Linked DNA regions of Rhinolophus ferrumequinum. The protein of the gene in region 2 purifies or fractionates together with the protein of the main gene of each other region. This does not show direct contact. Links are inferred from orthologs where the notes say so. Each region holds a gene or a part of one and is shown on either strand. Other genes may lie near its edges. The genes, in order: CEP170 and CCDC68.

Evidence for each region.
Region 1: the proteins of CCDC68 (region 2) and CEP170 purify together in Homo sapiens (co-immunoprecipitation; 3 studies listed by BioGRID and IntAct, counting the BioPlex papers as one, with this or other methods). This does not show direct contact. The link is inferred for Rhinolophus ferrumequinum from reciprocal best matches to the Homo sapiens genes CCDC68 and CEP170.

Annotation. Positions count from the first base shown.
Region 1 is NC_046310.1:17,587,695-17,598,838, forward strand, and holds the start of CEP170 (centrosomal protein of 170 kDa), read left to right. Parts: upstream 1-6,358; 5' UTR 6,359-6,597; intron 6,598-11,144. Other genes in the region: SDCCAG8 (serologically defined colon cancer antigen 8), read right to left, coding at 5,408-5,474.
Region 2 is NC_046302.1:44,494,747-44,505,680, forward strand, and holds the start of CCDC68 (coiled-coil domain-containing protein 68), read right to left. Parts: upstream 4,763-10,934; 5' UTR 4,669-4,762; intron 1,955-4,668; exon of another isoform or gene 1,951-1,954; 5' UTR 1,943-1,950; coding exon 1,826-1,942; intron 698-1,825; coding exon 611-697; intron 1-610. UniProt on the Homo sapiens protein: Centriolar protein required for centriole subdistal appendage assembly and microtubule anchoring in interphase cells. Together with CCDC120, cooperate with subdistal appendage components ODF2, NIN and CEP170 for hierarchical subdistal appendage assembly.

The DNA.
Region 1 (11,144 bases), on a different chromosome or scaffold from region 2:
ACATTAGAGCTGATGGTCCGGCTAGGTCTTATTTTCAGGGAAACATGGTGTGTGTGTGTGTATGTATATATATACTTATATATATGTATATACATATACTGTATATGGCAAAGAATATAAAAAATATTCAGGAAACATTTAAGCAAAAAAATTAGAAAAGGAAGAGGAGGAGGAATTGCAGGAGGAGAGAGGGGGAGAGAAAAGAAGAAGAAACACAAATTTGATGAGTAAAACTGAGAAAAAGAAGAACTTTTGCTTAAGTTACACACGTTTTGTAAGTGTGTCAAAGGTCCACATGATATCACTGCTGGCTAATTCGGTGACCAAATTATTGGCTAGTAAGATTAATGCAGGCCTTCTACAGATGTGAGCCCTTCCCTGGAAGGAAAAGCACTCTTTGTAGGCTCTGCAGAGATGTGTCAATCACATACAAGTAAAACATAGAACATCAACATTATCTTCGGTTTTCTCAAATTAGATCAATTTACAAAGAAAAGGATCACCCCCAAATTACATACTTTATTCCCTTTTCAACCTTTTGCTTTCTGTGAACTAGTTCCATTCCTTCCTCTTATTTTTATTAAATAAAAACATAACCTTTATCATTCACATGGCCCAACCCAGTGTTGATGGAAGAGACATTAGAGATCCAGGGGTCTGAGAGTGATACCTGGGTGACAACCAGGCTCTCACGTGTGTCTTGCTTGGCCAGCACATTGTGGGAAGAAGGGAGAAGAAAAACAGGGAAGAAAGAAAAGAGGGAGGGCACAAGAAACTGGATTGTTTTTAGAAAAAGCATCAACTGCCCAGTTTGGCCACACGCCTCACCATTCCCTAGTGCCTTCCACTGACGCATTCATACATACTGTCATCTATTTGGCTCCTAAAGGCAATAATTCCCAAATCTAGTCCAAACTTTATTTTACAGATGAAGACCAAGAATCCACGAGCAGTTTATTTATTTGCCTGAGGTGACAGATGGTTATCAGCAAAGCAACTGTAAGAGTTCAGCGACGTGGCTCCTAGTTCCACATTCTCTTCTCCATCATATTTGTCCATAAATTGAGTCTAGAGCCTGAAACACTGAAATGCTGAAGAGGAAAGGGTGAACCAGGATAGAAAATGTATATGGAAAATAAATGATGTATTCCTAGCACTGTACAAGTTTGTTTCATATTTCTTTATGCCCACCCAACCAAAGGTAGCTAGGTGAATAGGTGAGTCATGTATTCAGGTCTTGATAAAACTGTGTTCATAGCTAACACTGTAGCAACAGACTAGACATGATTCTGTTATTAAGGCTGGGACATTGCATTTCTAGCAAGTTCTCTCCTTCTAATACCATATCCTTACATTCCAGTGTACAGAACTTGAACAGCCTGGATTGCCCATTATTCTGGTTTTTCTAACCCTTTCTTGGCTACAAACTGCTTTATTTTATACCTCACGGCCTTGTACAAGGATGTGTTGAATGTAAATTAGAGGAGGGGCATTTGCACTTCTCTCCAGTTATCAATATAGTTCTCAGCCATTCTGCAGGTCTTGAATTACAGTTGCCTGTGGAATGAATGAACACCTAACCATACTGCCAGGAGCCCTTCCAAGTCACTTCCAGTTCTATGTTAAGCTCTGTGATTCCCAGGATACTTGGAATATGCTCACTTATTACCCCACTGGAAACTTTCATATCATCTACCGTGGAGGGATAATATTACAGATTTTGGGGTAATGAGGTCTTTTAATTTTTATGTCAGAACTCTAACTTTGAAGGAATGTCATTAAACCTGCCCAATTTCTTGCAGCGGGGGCATAGACAACCAAAAGCAGGAGATATCCTTACAGGGGGCAAACAATGAATATATCTGAAAAGTGTAAGGGAAAGGATAAGACGTGAGGGTGGAGTGTGAAATGGGCTCTCTATTTCCATGGCTGCTCTGGGCTCATCAGAGTCAAGGAGAGGCAAGACGTACACTCAGGTTTTAAAAGCAAGAAAGTGAACTTTGACTCCGCTTTCACATCAGAATTTCAAATTCTTAATATACTGTAATACCGAAAATTATATTTAAAGTGAAGAAATGAGGCAAAGCTATAAAAAATGGAAACTTGTGAAAGCATTTTGCATTTTTATGTGGTTACTTGCTGTCTGAATATAAATGAAGGTATACAAATAATGATTACAGGTATAGGTATTTAAAAACCAGAGGAGTAACCTGTGAGGAAAGACTACAAATGCTTATCAGCCTTTTCTCTAAACAAGAACTAGGCAAGACATTTTGGGGAAGTAATGGCAGATAGACAAAACCAAACAAACCAACAAAACAAAGCAAAGAAACTTTAAATTGCATTTTGTCTGATTGTATAGAACACAATTTCAAGTTATTAGGCACAAACACTCAAAATGAAGTTCTACATATAAAATAATGCCACCATACTTTGTTCTGAAACACAAATGTTGACTTTAAAAGGAATTATCCTACTTAAAAGGGGGTAATTTATATGTATGGAGTGAAGAACTTCTGACTGTGCTTCCCTTCAAAGTTCGCTTTGTTTTGTTTCCGTCCATGAGCTGTTATATAAACTAAATAAATGTAAAAATAAACAATGCTACTAAATAAATAATAAAATAAGTCCTGGAAACCCATGAAAAATCAGGTTCCATTTCTTGATTCATTGTTAAAATGGTCACTAAACATTTTTTTTTAAAGTAAACTTTTTTCTCTGCTTTGTCTGCTCTTGATTATAAATGTTTTCACTATCACATTGTTAGCACACTAAATTTAAAACTTATTTTAAAATGTATTAGCTTTGAATAAAAACTCTTCACTTTGTAATTACTGAAAGCATTATCATGGGTATTAAACACAGTAGTACTCTAACATTAGTTTAAATTAACCATTGCATCAAAATGCCTAATATTAAATGGCCTCTAATACTTACATAAAAGTTCAAAATAAGGTCAAAGAAGGAAGAACATTAGGAGATACTTATAATGGAAAACAAAAATTTTTTGCCAACCTCAAAAATTAAACAGAATCACTCACATTATCATTGTGCACAGTATTTTTCTTGCTTTCAAATGAAAGTTAGAAGTGGTTATTTCTGTATCTAAAAGTTCTTGAAACATCACTAGGATGATGAAGATATTCATTAAGACCAATTATTTTACTCTTGCAGTTTGAATACTCACAGTGTTGACAGTTTGTAACACTGCTGACAGGTGGGAACAATAAATAATAACTCTTACAAAATCTAGAGTCACTTGAAAATAAACTTTCTAATCTTCTTGAAAAACCTTCCCTTTGTTGCAGGTACCAATTATAAATAGCAGCTAACATTTAATTAGTGCTTCTTATATGCCAACCACTGATCTTTACCCTTATTGTCTTTCCTAGTAATCTGTAATTATTTTGTTTATTGTCTTTCTCCTCCACGAATCCAGAGGCTCCAAGGGGACAGGGACTTTGTCTAGTTCCTTATGTATCTCCAGGACCTAGTATGCCTAACACACAGTAGGCACTCAATTAATAAGTGAATCAGTGTTCTAAATGCTTTACATAATTTTTTAAAACTGTTGGTCATGACCTAGAGGGTTAAGAAAATGCAACAGAAGAGAAAATAGAGTGCATTACATTTAGTATTTTTTAATGAAACTTTTCTTTTAGTTTACGTATTTGTCCCATATAAAATGTATTTTTACTGATGAGTGACAGTAAAAAGAAAAAAAAAAGAAAGTCTCAAAATTATTGCTTTATATGGATTATTTCATTTGCTTCTCACAACAACCCTGTAGACGACACCGTAACTTCCACTTTAAAATAACAGAACTGGAGCTTCCCAGTTGGTGACTGCATCCATGTGCTGGCATGGCAATGCACCCAAAGAGGGCTTCCACAACTGAAGGGTTCAGGCCCGCAAGACTACCTCCACTTCGGATGCCAGTCACGAGTCCCAGGTTATCACTAGTACTTCTGACTGATTGGCTATAAATTCAAAGGGTTCCTACAACCCCCTCCTTGGCTCTACTGTTTGTTAAAATGACTCACAGAACTCAGGAAAGCACTTTATTTACTATTACTGGTTCATTATAAAGGGGTACAAATCAAGAACAGCCACATGGAAGAGATGCATAGGTGAGACATGGGGATGGGGTGCAGAGCTTCCAAGCCCTCTCTGGGTGCATCGCCATCCCTGCGCATGGATGGGTTCACCAACTGGGAAGCTCTCTGAACCCTGTTGTTTGGAGGGTATTATGGAGGTTTCATTACATAAATACGATTAGATTAGTGACTAACGCAATCTCCACATTCTCCCCTCTATGGAGACTAGGGAATGGGGCTGAAAGTTCCAACCCTGTAATTGTGGCTGGGTCTTTCTAGCGACCGGCCCCAATCCTGAAGCTGCCTAGGGGCTCTCAGACACCAGCCATCTCATTACACACAAAGACACTTTTATATGAATGAAATTTGAAGGCATATGCTAAGTAAAATAAGCCAGATATCAAAGAAAAAATATTGTATGATTTCACTTAGATGGGGTACCTAGAATAGGCAAATTGATAGAGACAGAAAGTAAAACAGAGGTTTACAGGAGCTAAAAAGAAGGGGAAATAGTGAGGGGGGGGGAACAGAACTAAGGTTTTTAAATGTTATATATGTCCAAGGTGACAGAATACAATCTTCAGTTCTATAGATACTCATTCATATGGTGCCATACTAAAAAAAAAAATCTGAATTAACTAAATATGGTTTTAGTAAGTAATAGTAATTGTGACAGGATTCATAAAGAAAAATATAGGCTTTTAAGACAGGCCTGACTGACTTTAAGATTTGTCTCTGCCACTAAGCAGCTGTGTGGGCTTTGTCCTGATTTATCGTCTTTGCACCTCCATTTATTTCCCCATGTGTAAAATAGGGATATTTATAAGGTTGTTTTAAGTTTTAAATGATATAATGTATGTAAATAGCCTAGAGCACTAAATAGAGCTGTTGTGATTAAAATAATTATTAGTGCTTTCTTTTCCTGGTCCAATAAATCATTCAATCCACTACACCGTACTGTGAATGTGTAAATAGTGTGTAGCAGGAACTCATTAAAGAGCAAAGTATGGGAAATGTGCAAAAGTGGCATAGAGCCGTTCAACAGGTTCTGCTGGCGCTGGGTGAGAAAGATGCCTAAATCAAGATCAGAGAGTTGGTTCAGGTAGTAAGGGAACCAGGGAAACACTAATGGTTAACAGTAAAAACACAAACGATCTCATTCTTCCTCAAAAACATCCTTCAACAGCAACATCCATCTTCTTCCTCTGCATCCTGGCTGAGGCCGAACCAAGGTGATAGGAAACACACCTAGTCAGCTCCCGCCCACTAGGCCCTGGTACCACGGGGCACGGAGGTTCGGAGCAACTCACCCCGGAGACTCCGTCGATAATGCCCCAGAATCTCCTCCAGGGTAGAGTTCTCCGGGGACTTCGCCATGTACAGACTCAGGATCAGAGATGGGAGTTACGTGGGGAATAGTCCAATGTTCTCCCCTCCGAGAACAGGAGGCCTTAGCGCCCCGGGTGGACCCGCCAGCTTCCTGCCGCTGCTGTCAATGGGGAGCATGGAACCCCGGACCGGGCTCGCGGGGGTTCTTCCCCCCTACTAGCCCTCTTGGTGGATGACGGGAGTTGTGGTTCTCAGACTCCGAGCCTGCAGTGTCCAAGTTTCTGAGACCTTCTGACTACACTACAATTCCCAGAGGGCACTGCGCTCCCAGAGCCAGCTCAGGCCGTTTGGTGGCCGGATCCGGTTGCCAAGAGACTGCTCGGAAGCTCCGCCCTTTTCCTGATTTAGTCCTGCCTTCATCCCATCCTACTGTTTGGACCACCCAAAATGACAGAAAGGGCTCGCAGAAGGCCTTGACTTTTCTAAGCAATTTGCTAATATGCAGTCGATTCTTGAAGATTTTCAAGGACGCAAATAACAAGCTCAACACTCTTCAGCCACGACATTTGCCAAAACAGACAAATTCTCAAGAGAAATACGCTCTAAATATTCCAAAGAGCCTAGATTGTGAAAGGCGGCTGACACTACAAATCCTAGCATGCCCAGCCACCCGACCTCCACTTGGGGTTGGCGCACTGCCCGCTGGGAACGGTAGTCCTCGTTGGTAGCCGTCCCTGCTAAAGTTGGGGTCCTCCTCATTGTTCAAGCTGGTCTTTGAGGCACGCCTGCGCAGTAGGCAGCTGTAAAACCCTGCGGCGAGACCCTCTGCACAGCCCCTTTTCATTGTCTGTTTTTGGCGCCTGCGCAGTAAGCGATCGTTGGGACTGAGCCGGGAAGGGGGTAGGGCCGGGCTGCTCGCCCTTTCTCCAAGCGCCTGCGCATTAGGCGGCCGCTCTTTGCCGTTACCGCTATGTGTGGGGCGTGTGTGGAATAACGTTAGTGCCCAGCGGAGCTGAGGGGCCGGGAGCTCGATCACAGCGGCCGGGACGACGACGACGACGACGACAGCGGCAACGACGACGACAGTGTGGGGGGAGGACGGCGTGCGAGAGACTCACGGGACGCGACGCGCCCCGCCTCCCCCGTCCGGTCCCTCTCTCCGCGGTGAGGGGTAAGTGATGCGCTCAACTGCTGGGTTAGGCGCTGCCGATCCCGTCGCGGCCACTTTCCACATCCTCTTCCTTGGGTTTGCAGCGGGGGCTCGGGCCGCGATCTGCGGCGGGGCTAGGGTGCGGGGCCGGGCGGGGCCGGGGGCGCTTCCCGGATGCTCCTCGCGGCGCCGCCACCCCCACGCACCGGCCGGGGGCTCGGCCGGGCCAGCCCTCGTCTCCCCACCCCACCCTCACCCCACCCCCACCCGCCGGCCCTTCGGTGCTGCGGCCGCGGCTTTCCCGGCCCGTGGCCGCCTCCGCCCCTTCGCCGGAACGTACGGAATCATTTCAGCTCTCTCGGGGCTTTGTGCAGCCCTCCCCCATCCGCCGTGGCAGCGCGAGGGGCGCGGAGGGAATGGCCGCGCTGCCGCTGGGGAAGTGCTGTTTCCCCGGCTGGGAGCAGCTAACAGCGCCGATCCTTTTTTGTGGTTGGTTCTGGGCTGTGGGGTGGTTGGCGGGAGGTCAGGCGAGGAGCCTTTCGGACGCGCTCGGAGGGCGTGGAAGACGTGGTGTCACGCACCCTGCCAGGCGACCGGACCCCGCGGGAGCTTTGGCTCGGGAGTCAGCCCCCGGGAGCAGAGCGTGGCTTCCTGTCGGTTTCATTGTCCTGAGATTCAAACGTGGGGTGTGGGTACGGTTCCCTTCGTGTTATTCCCCAAGGGGGAAAATTATGAGCGCTGCCTAACACTGGGCGGGAAGACGTGGAATTTGTAGAATCTCTATTTTTCGGTGTTGAGTAGACTGTTATTTATTTGAAGAATGAAAGCTCCTGGAAGACACGGACAGTGCCTGTGCAAGCATTGCCAAAGTGATCAATATAAAATTGCTAGATGACGATGAAGCCTGGACTAGGAAGGGCCTGACGACGAAGCTATTGTGTAGCAGGGAAGTGAAGCAGCAGGATTGTTTTTTCATTGGGTGGGTAAATGCATTCACGTTCCTACGGGAATAGCTAAGGCTCCGTCTTGCCGTTTTGTGTATTTAAGCAATCGAAGCAAACAAAAAACAGACCTGGTCCATTTCTGCTTAGTTTTATTCATGCTTGTATTCTCTTTGTGAAAATTCACTCCCGTTAGAGAGAAATGTGGGGAAGCAGGTGATACACTTGATTGAAGATGCATCTTTTAAAATGATTTGATCCTGAAGCTTCCAATGTTTCCAACCGTTTGCTGGTTTTAAAAGGAGGAATGAAGCAGGGAGGGGAGGAGCAGGTGGAGGAATAATGTGAGAGGAGAGAGTTCCATTATGAATACAGTATCCAAGTCTTTACTGATAGAATCCTAGCTGGACATGCTTCAAAGATTTACGAATTCAGCTCTGGAAATATTACATTGCAAGTTACAAACCGTTTTGTATGTTCTGCATTATTATTATTTTTTTGAGTTATATGAGGGTTGCTTTTTGTTCTTCCTAACTTTATAGATATTGCATAATTAGGGTCTTTTAAAACTGAAGAGACTAAGTGCACTTGACAGAGACAGAGGAAGATAACTAAAATTTGGAAAGGTAACTGTCCGTCCAAGCCAAACTGCTAATGAAAGGCAAAGCCAAATAAAACCAAGGTGTGTGCTGCGGAGTGCTCCTTCCAGTAGCCCCCTACCCTGTGGACATTTACGGAAAGCTGCTCTACAGTCTCTTTGCTTGTCTGTGACAAACAATCAAGTTCATTGACACCCCAGTTGTATTAATCTAATCCTTTTCTTTGTAAAGTAAAAATAGTAATTCTACTGAAGTGAAACTTTAGTTTTATGAATTAACTTACTGTTATAGGAAAAGATACTATAACATGGGCTTTTCATAAAAAGAGAAATGGATTATTTTTCCCTACTACTTATTAGAAACCATATTTTAATATTATTTCCGGATATTCAGAAGTAGTTTATAGTATGATCAGGTCTATAAACTCTGTTAAAAATTGCCACATAACAAGAAACTATGAAGTCCATTTTTCTTTGATTAATGGATTATATTAAACTTAAACGAGAATTTACCTTTTGAGAAATAACTTGGAACTTTTTATCAAAATTAAATTTATGTTTTTTATTGAGTTGATTTTGCCATAAAGTCCTTTCTTGTTCTTATCATTTTTATCCTACATAGCATTTTAATAGACTTTTAAAACAATTTATTAATGTTTCTCTGAATTTCAACTTAAAAATAATCTGTAATTAAATTCAGTATGTGCAATTATGTTAAATCAAACTTAAAATGTATTTTACTGGTAAATTTTGTGGTGTTCTAAAATGATTTTGTATGGAAATAACCATCTACATGTTTTTTTATCTTAGCATTAGAATGATGAAATTTATACTATAAAATATATAAATTATTATACATTATGCCTTTTGATACAAATATCAAGATGGTATAAAAAAAATTCTCTGCATAGTGATTTATTTGTTCCAAGTATCAGGTTTTTGTTTCCTTTTATCACTGGAAAAAAAATTTGTTTTATTGTTACATCTGATAGTAATCAAATATTACTCATCTGGTACTGAATACTGTCTATGTATAAAGTTGTCAACATGTTTTTAATTCAACAAAATGTATTTCTGAAAAATAATTTTTTCTATTTTAATTAGTGAGTAATGATGTTTTTTCTTTTCTGTGGTGAACACTAGCAGTGTTAAGCTATCCTAATAAATATCTAACAGATAGCATGATACTAAGTTGCCAACTAAAATATCCGTACAGTTGCAAATTACACAGGAAGTATAACAAAAGCAGTTACATACTATCTGAAAAATCCTTGGTGGATAAATAATACTGGCTGGAGCATTAAATCTTGGTGGGTTTCAGTAAGAAATGGGTTTCCTATTACGGGGAGAAACCATCTTTATTTCATAAACTTTGGTTAATAACCAAGATTTCTAATACTCAGTTACCCTTGGTGGAATGAGTTTTAATTTATTTACTCATACATTTCTTGAGGGAAGTGCTCAGCAATGAGTTAGCCAGTATGAGTGATACAAAAGAAGAAAACATCCATGTCTGGTAGTAGGGTTGATTAAACTGGATATATAGTCCAGTTAGTTGAAATAATTGTGCAACAGTGTGTGGATATGTGTAGACACGTATGTATCCAAAATGTATAACATAGCTAACATGTACTGAAGGTAAAGCTTACCTTTATGTCAAACAAAGGTAGAAAGGATACCAACAAAAAGGTTAAAGAAAACCTTACAGAAATTATATACAAGTAGGGATTGTACAAAGCATAGAAGTGGAAAAGAATCCCAAGCATACGTTGCTTAGGTTTAAAAACAAAAAAATTAGACAGCAGAGAATGTCATTATTTAATATATTAGTAATTAATAAATAATATAGAAAATATTACCTTTTGGGACATGATATTTGTTGAACAAATGGGTAATACCTGCCATGTATTAAGCACCTACTATGTGCCAGACTATGTCTTTGTGTGTGTGTGTGTGTGTGTGTATAATTCATGTAGCAGTCTTGTAAGTAAGGTATTATTTTACACATTTAAAATTGAGAATATTTGAGACCCAGAGTTAGTGAATAATTTTGCCTCTGTGTCACACATTAGTAAGAGGTAGAACCTATAACTGAACCTTCGTCTTTTCAACTAAAGCTAAAATTCTTTCCACTCATGTTTTTTAGTAAGTTTAAAAGGCAACATTTATTCCCTTCTGATTCACAAAATTTTAGAATTACAGGAGACTTTAGTAGAAGTCATGTCATACAATGTGCCACGTACTTCTAATATCTCTGGAGAACTTACTGAATCCAGCTTCTCCAAGACAAGACTTCATGAACAAACTGGCATAGGATGGCTTATTTAGCTTTTGAAAAGTATAGAAAGGTCTTACTTATATAAGACCCAGTCTTATGTTATTGTAAAATAAGACCCAGTATTATGTTATATTATGTATTATATTATATTATATATTATACCCAGTCTCATATTGTAGTAAAATAAGACTGGGTCTTGCATTAGAGCTGATTGTCCAGCTGGGTCTTATTTTCGGGGAAACATGGTAGTACCTGCGGAGCTATGTATTATAACTTCTTCCGATTGGTTGCAGTTCTGTCTTTATGAGTGAGATACAGTAAGGTTCTTAATATAATACAGTAAGGTTCTTCTTAATATAGTGGGTCTCTGCTAGGTTTTCTCTTTTCTAAATTAAATATTATAACCCCTATAACTTCATATGACATTGTTTCCTTTACCTTTCTCATCTCTGTCAACTAAATTCAATCAATTTTGTCAATGCTATTTTTTTTTTTCTGATTTGGTTTCCATATTTAATTCTGCAGTCATGGTCTGAATACAGCGTAGTAAAATTATCCCCTTCCTTAATTCATTCAAGCCATACGCATGTGTTTACAATATAAAATTGTGTTAACTCTTTGAATAACAGTAATATCCTTGTCAGTTCTAAGCAAAAAATAAGAGAAAATGTTATGTGGTTTTTCAAGTTATATTTATGCAATTCAGGGGATTATTTTTTGAGATTCTGTATTTCTACTTTTCTAAAGTTAA
Region 2 (10,934 bases):
ATGATTAAAGGAGACTATGTTTATGCATCATACCTACAGCTGGTGTTCTTTGGCCATATTCAAGACTAGATAACACTGACATTGACAAATGCACTTGGATTAGGTAAAGTTTAATGTGACATAATCCAGACAAGGTTAAGTGCAGAGTGCTTAATTTTAAGAAAATCAGGCTGGTTGCAGAGGAAGGGGTGCCTTTAACCTTATCAGCTGTCTGCTCATTTGGCCTAATGGCTTCAACTGTGTTTCCGCTGGTGTGGTCCAGGTGAGCCAAAAAGCTTGTATCTTTGTCTATAATTGGGAAATGTTGCTGCCATGTATCTTGGCTGGGCCGACATCTTCCCATATACATTAGAAAAGTAAGCTCAGTTTAAAATATTCAAGTAAGGTCTGGTCATTCCAATCGGATCCTACTAATGACATCTGTGGTTAAATATTTCATACATGTGCCCATTAACATCTTTAGATAATGACAAAATATTTAATACCCATCGTTCAAAGCTTCCAAGAATAATTTAATAATTATCAAAAAAAGTTACTTAAATACAGTCTGTATGGCTTTATGTTTATTTACTGACGAAATAGAAATGGTACATTTTGATAAATTCATTACCTTTGCATCTAGTCTGTGCTTTATACTGTTATGTCCTGTTTCATCTTTAAACATTTGATTTCGGATCTTTTCCAGAGTAGTACGAATCTAGAAGAAAAAAAATATGTTTTTTTTTTTAAAGGCATTTAATGCCAAATACTTTTTTTTCTCTATACCAGCAGTAGTGCACTGAATTTATCTAGAAAATAGTACATATATATTGATCTCAGACTTAAATAATTACCATCAACCTAACTTGCATTTAGGCTAATGTTGTCTGGATTGTAGAAAATGAGCATTTGGTCTTTATAACTCTTTCTCAGTCAAACCTAAAATATAACCTAAATGAATATTATACTACAAAATAATTACTATTTAGTAATTAGTATCTAATTCTATTTAGTTCTATTTTTTTCTATATAGTAATTTAGCACTAATTTACTATTTAGTAATTACTATAATACAATTACTGTTTAGTAATCACTACAAAATAATCACTATCTAGTAATTACTACAAAATAATTACTACCTAGTAATTACTAGAGAATACTTTCTATTTAGTAATTACTATAGAATAATTACTAAGTGGAAATCATACAAATTTATACATAAAATATAAGTCCCACACCTTTGTGACCTATGGAATTACGAGACACTCTAAGATGAATCCATAGATCTGAATGTTACAATTTACCCATGTCCAAATTTTTCCATCTGTTCTGAGAAACAGTTCATAAGAATATATGTTTCTCTCAGCCATTATCATTGGGTTCTCATAGGATTTCAGGTTTTTAATGAAGGACTATGCTTACACGTAGTCATTGGCAATAGCGACCCTGAACTGTAAGAAGGAACAAGCGAAGGAGAGACAGACACTCAGCAGGAAATGCAAACATCTACTAGGGAACACAGCACCAACTCATGAAACAACTGAGAAATGATATAAAACAGTAGGAAGTGCAGTGGTGAATAGTGTGGGACAAATTAAGTCCTGACAGGTGTTTCAAACTCTCCTTGCCCATTATTCAATTTTACTGCAAGGGTCGGAACAGGGGTTCATATCCTCAAGAGAAAATGCTCAACATGTGTTTAAATGTCAGCTATCAAGATTATTCTTTGCCAAACAAGGTCTGCTCTTCCTCTCAGGTTCTATGGAGGGAGAAACAAAGTCTACCAATCTATATTAGATTTTACTTTACAAAAATCATACTAACGTGATGTGTGGCTCCCACATACCGTTTTCACATATTCGGTTTCTTCAATAATGTGAGCTGATGTGGAGTCATACAAGGCAGAATTATCTTCTGTCTTACCCCTTGGGGGAACTTCTGTGGTCACGGTTATTGTTGCCATTGTGAACTCTGTCTTTAGGAAAACACAAATCCGTTAGACAACACTAACTTCCTTGATGATATGATTATAGGGTTTGTAAACTGGAAGAAGCTCTGTACTAGCACTCTAATCCAATACTGTACAGTAGAAAATATTATAAATGATTGACATCTCTCTCTCTCTCTCTCTCTCTCTCTCTATATATATATATATATATATATATATATATATATCCATAAATCCAGGAATTAATTTAATGTAAAAATAACGCCAGCTAAAACAATTATTGATTAGAAACTTAAAAATTATCTGAGAAGGAAATATGGAAAATTTTTCTTTTTTTTTCCCCCTCCCAGAAAATTTTTCTTTTCATCCCACATTATATTAGACTGTAAAACCTCAAGAGTAAGGACTGTCACTTTCGCCTTTATATTCCAGCACATTGTAAGTGTTTAGTAAATTTCTGTGGAACTAAAATAATTATAATAAAATCATTTCTATATTACTTACATACATATATATATACATGCATGTAGATCACTTTATAGTTAAGACAGACCTTTAATATATTGCATTTTATTTAACTCTCAATAGCCTATGAAGACCATTTACTGAAAACTTATTTGTAAAAGTAAGAGATTGGGAAAGTCCAAATGCCTCCAAAAAGTAGACTGGCTGAATAAACCACCTACTGCTATGGACTCTTCTTAGTAATGTATTGTTCAATGAAAAAGCACAGTGCAGAAAGGGACATATTGTATCATAATTTCTATAAGAAGGGAAGAATGGATGGAAGGGGACAATCTGTGATTTATAGTTTTGACATTGAACAATGTAATTATTTTGCCTAATTATAAAATAAAACTAAATTAAAATGAAAAAAATAAAATCCTCCAAAATAAGAAATAAATATCTGTATATCAAGTTGGTAGGATGTCCACATGAATTATTTGAAGTGAGTTTAAAACACACATCAGGAACTATTTATCCCAGTGTACTATGTCCTAAGGACAAAAAGAATAGCAAAATTCTTTAACTACACCTACTAATAGTATTGTTAATGGAAACATCAGTATTGCCACTTTGAAATTATATGTGTGTTAATACACACGTGTCTGCGCTCACCCAATGAATGCATGCATAAAGCCGAGAAGTCATTCTCTTAATGTCATTAAGAACAAGATATTTAGCATAAGAGGAAAATATATACAAATTAGAACCAAAAATGTTGCATAAAAACCTTATAATCTGAACTAAAATTATGAGTGTAACACAATGATTTGTTTTCCTTTAAAATGTACATTCTAGATCTATCCACTATAAAATAGCAATTAATATTCTAGTGTCTAGACTGTGGTCTCAGTATACCATTTTCTACTAAAAAGAAACCAGGCTTCTTGAGTGATTTAGATCTGGGGCAGGAAATGTATAAAGCAAGTCTGAGATGTGTTATCCTATCAGAAAGCAAAAAAGTAATCAAATACTACTTGAATAACACATAAAAACCAACCTGAAGAGAAATAACTGTGAGGGGTTGAAAACATATCGAAATTTATGATGATAGGAGAAAAACCACCACCACCACCACCACCCCACCACCACCACCAATCCTCATGGTCCAACTCAATGGAGGCAGGCCACCATTATACTAAACATTAGCCCTAAAAAGGGGTGAGGGGAACACCAACAAGCATTTGTCTTGCCTTTCCTGTACGAACTGTAGTTCATGGTGACCAAATAATTGATGAGGGAATTTTTTCAAAAGAATTCTTGCTAATAAATCCAAAGGAATTGATACAATTAGAAAACCTACATTTTTCAACCCCTTATGAAGTAATGGAACTAAGCAACAGTTTATCAATTGGTGCGAAAAACATTAGGTGAGAGCTTAATGAAGTATGCATTTACCTGAAGAGCCCTACTAATCGGTCTTGACACAAGTTAAAAAGAGACAACCAGATATTTTGTCCTCTGGATATGGTACAATCACAAGTAGAAAGCATCACCTATGAAGTACGATTTTTTTTTTTCAAAGTAGGCTTGAATCTAATCAAGCCTCTATCTGAAAAAGAGGATGATGTTTAATGACTCTACAGGGTAAAGGTTGCAATCAGCCAAATCCAGATTTATGTGAAATTTTATGGGACAAATAACTAGCTCCTTCCACAAATCAATTATATGAAGAAAGATAGGAAGAAGAGAAGAAAAACTGCCATAAATTAAGAGTCTTAAGAGACACACGACCTAATGCAATATATGAATCTTCTTTGGCTTCTGATTCAAATAAACCAGCTATACAAAGACATTTTTGAGACAACTAGGGAAACATTAACACTGCCTGGGTAATACATGAGGTGAAAGAATAACTGTCATTTTGCTAGGTATGATAGCGAAATTATGACATTCTTTAAATAAAGATCTTGTCTGTTAGTCATATATAGTGAATTATTTGCAGGTGAAATAACATTGCATTTGGAATTGCTTTAAAATACTCTAACAAAGAGGAGCAATGGGGGGGGGTAAAAATGAAAGAAGTTTGGGCAAAATTCAGGGAATTGTTAAAACTGGGCGAGGGCACATGGGGTTCATTATACTTCTCTACTTATTTTGTTTCAGTGTGAAATTTCCATAAGAAGTAGTAAAGTTCTAATAATACATAAATAAAATAAAAAGCCTTGTGAGGGAGGATTATTAATCTCATTTTACTGATAAGGAAGCGAAGACTCCCATAGGTGATGTTTATTTACCCAAGAGCACAGTAAAACTAACAGAGCTGAGACTGAAACCTGTGACTTTTGGACGCCAAGTTCAAGGGTGTTTCCATCACATTAAGGCTGGCTTCTCTAGTGAGAAAAAACAACAGAAATATTTAACATTTAGCAATGATCCATGGTGTTAAAACACACAAAGAATTTTCATATTTACTTCATATTTACTGGCATCACTTTAAAACTAGATAGCTTCTGGGGATAACTAACTCAGAGTTTTGCATTTATCCTTTAATCTTCGATGAAGTTGACAGAGTATGCCAAGAATTTTCCATTTTATTATAAATCCTCTTAGACAGCCACTACGGCTTCTATTGGTTTCGGCTGAAGTTGATTTGGCAGCCACAGCTCTGCAAGTCTGTTTCTACAGAATGCAGAGTGGAAGTACTTCTGTTACTGGGTCTTCGGAAGTCTCTTCTGGATTAAGCTCTTGGTCCAAAACAACATTTAAATGCTCAGAGTAAAACAAACACCCATAGAGACAATCAGCAATGTGTTTGGAAACCAGAGGGGGGTGGTCAGGCTAGAGTGGTGGTCAGCAAACCATGGCCCAGGAGCCCAAGCTCCTGGAGTCAAAAAATATTTACTATCTAGTCCCTTACAGAAAAAGTTTGCTCTCCTGCGTTAGGGTGTGATGGGGGTTGGAGCAAAACCAGTGGGAAAGCAAGAAATCATTTTGGTCTGAGTTGTGTTTTGTTCTCCAGTTGAGTCCCCCTTAAGCTATGGTCCCATTTGATTGATTTACTTTCTTTTTTCTTTTTAGCATGTTACACATTGTGTAACTTAACAAACAATAAGAGGCACTGTCTCACCACAGGAAATAATTACTCTTGAAAATGGATCCCACTGCATTCTCACAGTCTTTCACAATTTGAAAATCTCATTGGGACTCTGTTGTACACCTGAAAATACAGGGGGTGCCAAAAAAAAAATGTATACACATGACTTGTATTCGTCTTTTGTTATCAACATATATTGAGTATTACAAATTTAATACAGTTTTTTCCTTTCTTAAAATGTGTATATATTTTTTTGGCACCCTCTGTATATTCTCTTACGTGTCTTTTATTCTTAATATCAAGAAATGCTGCTCCTTAATCACTGCTATTTCTCAAAACAGTCTACCCCCTCCACTCAGCAATGGGCCACCTTAAAGAAGTTCCATAAAATCTTAGCCTCGACTTACAAATCTGTAAAATAGGGGTGGTGACACCTAGAGTTGTAAAAAATGAGGGGTTTGGTTTTTTTTTTTTTAATCCTTGGTGGCAGAAGGCATTCAGTGGACAGTAACTATTAATATTGTTGCTGTTATTATTTTATATTATTAATAACCACAGAAGATAAGCAGCCCATAGCAGAGTTCATGCCTATCTGGTTGTAAAGTATATTCATACGAAATCAAATTCCCTTTCTCTCCTTGGTTCAGAAAACTTTTACAACCACAGTCCTTGATTTGTATAAAGAAACCCAAGGGGAACTTCAGCTAGCAAAGTCCAAATCGCCATATGGCATTACTATCCTGGGGAAAATCCATCTTAGCATTTTATTTCTGCCAGAAGTAGATTAGGCAGATAAATTTTTCAAAACAAAACACAATCAGTTAATTAAAGTGAGAAAAGAATTTTATTTGTTTTATACTAGAGTGGTTTGAAGACAGCTTACAAGTGGCATCACTCCAAGAGGTGTTATTTCCTAGTTCCGGGCTTTTCAAACAGGGCTCCCAGGGGAACGTGAGGTGCTGAGCAGATAGGTCTTTGCCATCTCAGCTTGAACCAAAGCAGCTCTGTTTTATTCAATCACACACTGAATTTTTCCATGAGACTGATAGTGAAGAAAGAATAGTCTACATATCAAAGGTTTGGAGCTAGACAACCTAGATTCATGGCTTGACTCTGCCACTTAGTAGCTGTGTGATCTTGGGCAAGTTCCTTAACCTCTCTGTGCCTCAGTTTCCTTCTCAGTGAAATTCAGATATTAATATAAATTATTAATTATTAATAAGATAAATAATAAACCACATGGAATTGTGAGTTAACATCTGTCAAGCACTTATAACCGTGCCTAGCACATGAAAAATGATTTGCATGTTTGTCAAATGAGTAAATAAAACATGAAACCATTCTCCATAATTACTGCTGACAAGCAGTCTGAGTGATAGAGATGAACCAGGTAATATTTTAAGCAGTCTACAGATTGATTTGGGCTATAAAAGAAAATCTGCTTTGGAGGATTTTAAGACTAGCAAATCCATGGTATGGGTTCTTTCTTGAGAATGCATCAATAATTCATCAATGTGCCCAAATGATTATGCTAACATCTAAGGACTAGTTTACAGTTTACAAAGCAATTCTTACACATTACTGTGAATTGTGATAAACCAGTACATCTCTGGGCACCCAGAATAATGTAACTAAACCGACTTCTCTGTTTAATGACAGAAGAATGGCTGAACCATTATACAATAAACACATATGAGGCGCTGTTACGGGTTTGTCCCCTCTCCCATTCATATGTTGAAGTCTTAACCCCAATACCTCAAAATGTGACCTTATTTAGAAATAGGATCCCTACAGATTAGTTAAAATGAGGCCATACCTGGGTAGGGTAGACCCCAATTCCATACGACTGCTGTCTTTATAAAAAGGGGAATTTTGGACACAGACATGCACATGGGGAGAAGGCTTTATAACGTGGAAGGCAGTAATCCAGGTGATCCCTCTACAAGCCAAGGAACGCCAAAGATTGCCAGGAAACCACCAGAAGCTAGAACGTGAGAAGCACGGAACAAATCATCCCTCAAAACCTTCAGAAGGAACCAACCATGCCAACATCTTGATCTTGGACTTCCAGCCTCCAGAACTGTGAGACAAGAAATGACTGTGTTTAAGCCACTCTGTGGTACTTTGTCGTAGCAGCTTTAGGATACTAATTATAGGCACTGTTTATATTCTAGAGGTTCTAACCAAGTTGTTTCCTTCCTTTACTTAACCCTGATTCATTCATTCATATATTAAATATTTATTGAAAACAGCTACCTTAGGAGTTGTGGCCACAGAAGTGAACCAGAGACCCTGCCTTCATGGGACTCGCAGTACAGAGAGGGAGAAAGACATAAACAAAACAATAAATATACAGGGAACCTAGTGAGAGGTGGTGACAAGTGCCATGAAGAAAAGCAGAGCAAGGTAACAGAAAAACAGGAGGTGATGCGTGGTGAGAGAAGGACAATCTGAAGAGGTGGCACTTGGGCAAAAGACTTGACTAACAGGAGCTGAAGCCCTGTGGCCATCTGGGCAAAGAGCATTCCATGCAAAGGGGAAAGCAACAGCAGAGGCTGAGATTTGCTTACAGGAGGAACGCAGTGTAGCTTACTTTTCTTCTTCTTTTAATGCAGGCAGCAGGGATTTTTTTTGTTTTTCAATAGCCTGGAACTTATGACCTCCAATTTGCGTAAGGAGCTGTTTCTTTAGCCACTTAAAGCAGGTCTCGCCCTGGCTGGTAAGGCTCCCTTAGGGTGAAAGGAAAGGCAGGATATAGGGAAGTCTGGGACGCTGTGAGATGCTACAAGGCGTATGCACCTGACTCCAGGTCAACCCACAGAAGGGGTCATAAAGTTGACTGCACAGTGCTATGCTCAACTCATTTCTGTGGGTGCTGACTGAACAGCACCATGGTGGACGCTTGGCATGGTTTGGCTGTCCAGCATTTGAATCTCCTTCCTAGATATGTAATGTGGAATCACCATCTGTATGAGTCTTTGCAGGAAAGTTCCCTTCCCTCTTCTTCCTCCCTCCTTGGGCTGGGGCACAGGTATGACACCTAGACTCAGCCAACTGAGTACTCCAACCTGGAAATGCCAGTAAGGGATTGATTGGCTATCAGGCTTGTGGAAGCAGGGGGTTAGTGAAAACCCCGTTATTGTTCTGGGAAGGGAAAGAGGCTGGCACATGGCAGTGCTTTATGTCCAGCAGCAGGAACAGCAGTGGAGATATCTAGTGACCAGTGGCAATGCCAGAAGGACTCTATCTTGTTCTGCCTACAGCCTCATCTTTGCTGAGGTACCAACACACTGGACTCTCCCATTTGCAAACGGAGTTTTCGCCTCAATTCTGAATGTTGCTCCATTTTCTTCCAGTAAATTCCTTTTCTACTTCAGTTAGCCAGTCAATTACTCTGGTTTGCAACCAAGAGCTCTGACTGGTTTGGGCACAGTTTCTGAGTTCTCGGTTTCTCAGTTTTAAGCTAACAACATTGCACAGTGTTGCATCCTTCTTGATCACTATTATATAGCGCTTAGAGAGTAGAAACTGAAAAAGTGAGTTACAATAAAAGTGCTGCAAGTAGGTTATGTGAGGGGAAAAAAGCTAACATATCTCCAAACCCTTGAAGAGACTGACTGTCTCCTGAATCTTAAAGAGCCCACCCGTTCTGCCGCTGCATTATACAGCACAATGGTGACATCCAGTGTCGGCCGGCTAAATCTCAGGTGACAGTGCAGTGTACCTGCAAGTGATGCACAGTATCACCAAAAGACATGCATGTTAACCCTGAACCCACATAATAATAACACTGCTTTCAAGTAACGATATAAGATTTTTTTAAGTTGAAGTAATCGCATCATTTGTAAATGCTACTCATTTGTATACACACATATATTTATATCATAGCCAGTGCTATTGAATGCTCTTAGACATGACATAAAAGCAATTCAGTTTTGGGGAAAAAAAGGATTGAAATATTGGTACTAACACAATATACAAATATAGACTGATGACAAAGCACTTTGTCATTTACCAAAAAGTCACTTCCATGTATTGTCAAAAGTCATCATTATAATACACTGTGCTTAGTTATTACTTATATATCTATATCTATTATCTAGATCCATAATTTATATCTATCTATAGCTGTGTATATAATGCAACCTAATCACAAACAAGTGATAAGAAGTTTTTCAAGGTCATAAATTGACCTCATCACCTGAATTCAGATAGATTGACTTCAAATCCAGGCGTCTTTGTAATGAAATAATCTATACACAGTTCATTGGTATAATTTGAAACTTTGAAAAAGCATAAGGTGTCACTCAGTGCCCAGTACAGCAACTAAACTACAAAGGGTGTAAATCATATGACTCCCTTTCCACTGGGGAAGCGTGGGGAGAAGGGCGCAGGATCTGGTCCATGTCCCCACATGCAGGCTGGGGTATGCTGCCTTTAATAAACCCCACAAACACCTGAGGTGTCAGTGTTATTATTCCCATTTTACAGATGAGGAAATGAGACTCGACATAATTAAGCAAAGACAGCTAGTAAAATGAAGTTAATGATGGTCGTGGATCACAACCCATGAGTCCGCGGCTATTTCCAACTTACCACTTTGCCTCCTGCGGCATTCTGAATGGATTTCTAAGTTCAGTATCTTGGGCACAAGCTAGTTTAGTACTCAGGGTTTTCCAAGTTGTTTTCCAAACAACTCCTGCTGTGAGCTCCCAGGTGTATCCGTCAGAAGCCTGAGCAGATCTTGTTGTCTGAATAGATTTATTCCAGGAACAGAGGTAGTATGACTTCATGGCTTAAAAATGGGGGCTTCGTACCTGGTTGGTGCAGTTCACGAGACTCTGTTCTCCTTCCCACTAGCTGGGTGGCCTTGGGAACATTTTTAACTCCCCAGGCTTCAGCTTCCTCAACTGAAAAATTCAGATGACAATATTAACTTCCTCACAGAGTTCATGGGGATTAAAAGTGCTCAATGGAGAATGTGACCCATAGTACACATTCAAAGAATATTAAATATTTCTATGTGGACATTTGCTTATAGGACATCATTTGAAAGTGTCCATGATAAGCTCAGTTGTCCCCTCACCATTCCTATCCCTCCCCGCCCATCAGTCAATCATTCCTTTTGCTTTGACCTCAGTCGACTCAATGACTTGTCAGTGAAGAAAATATGAAAAGAAGCAGTTGTCGATGACATATATCTCAGCCATTTGTAACATTTATAAGAAAGGAGACCTTTCGGAAAATTTCTTTTATGGTTTGATACAATATTTTAAGAGTAAAATACTCAGTCATTTACAAAATAGCTATAGCTTCCTAAACTCATCTTGGAATATTTTAGCTTCAACCTAATTTACTTTGTTTAAAAAATTATCCAGCAGGGGAGGGGGACAAACAATACTAAGTGTGAGTGAGGATGTGGACCAGCTGGAACTCTGGCCTGTTGCTGGTGGAAATACAAATGTG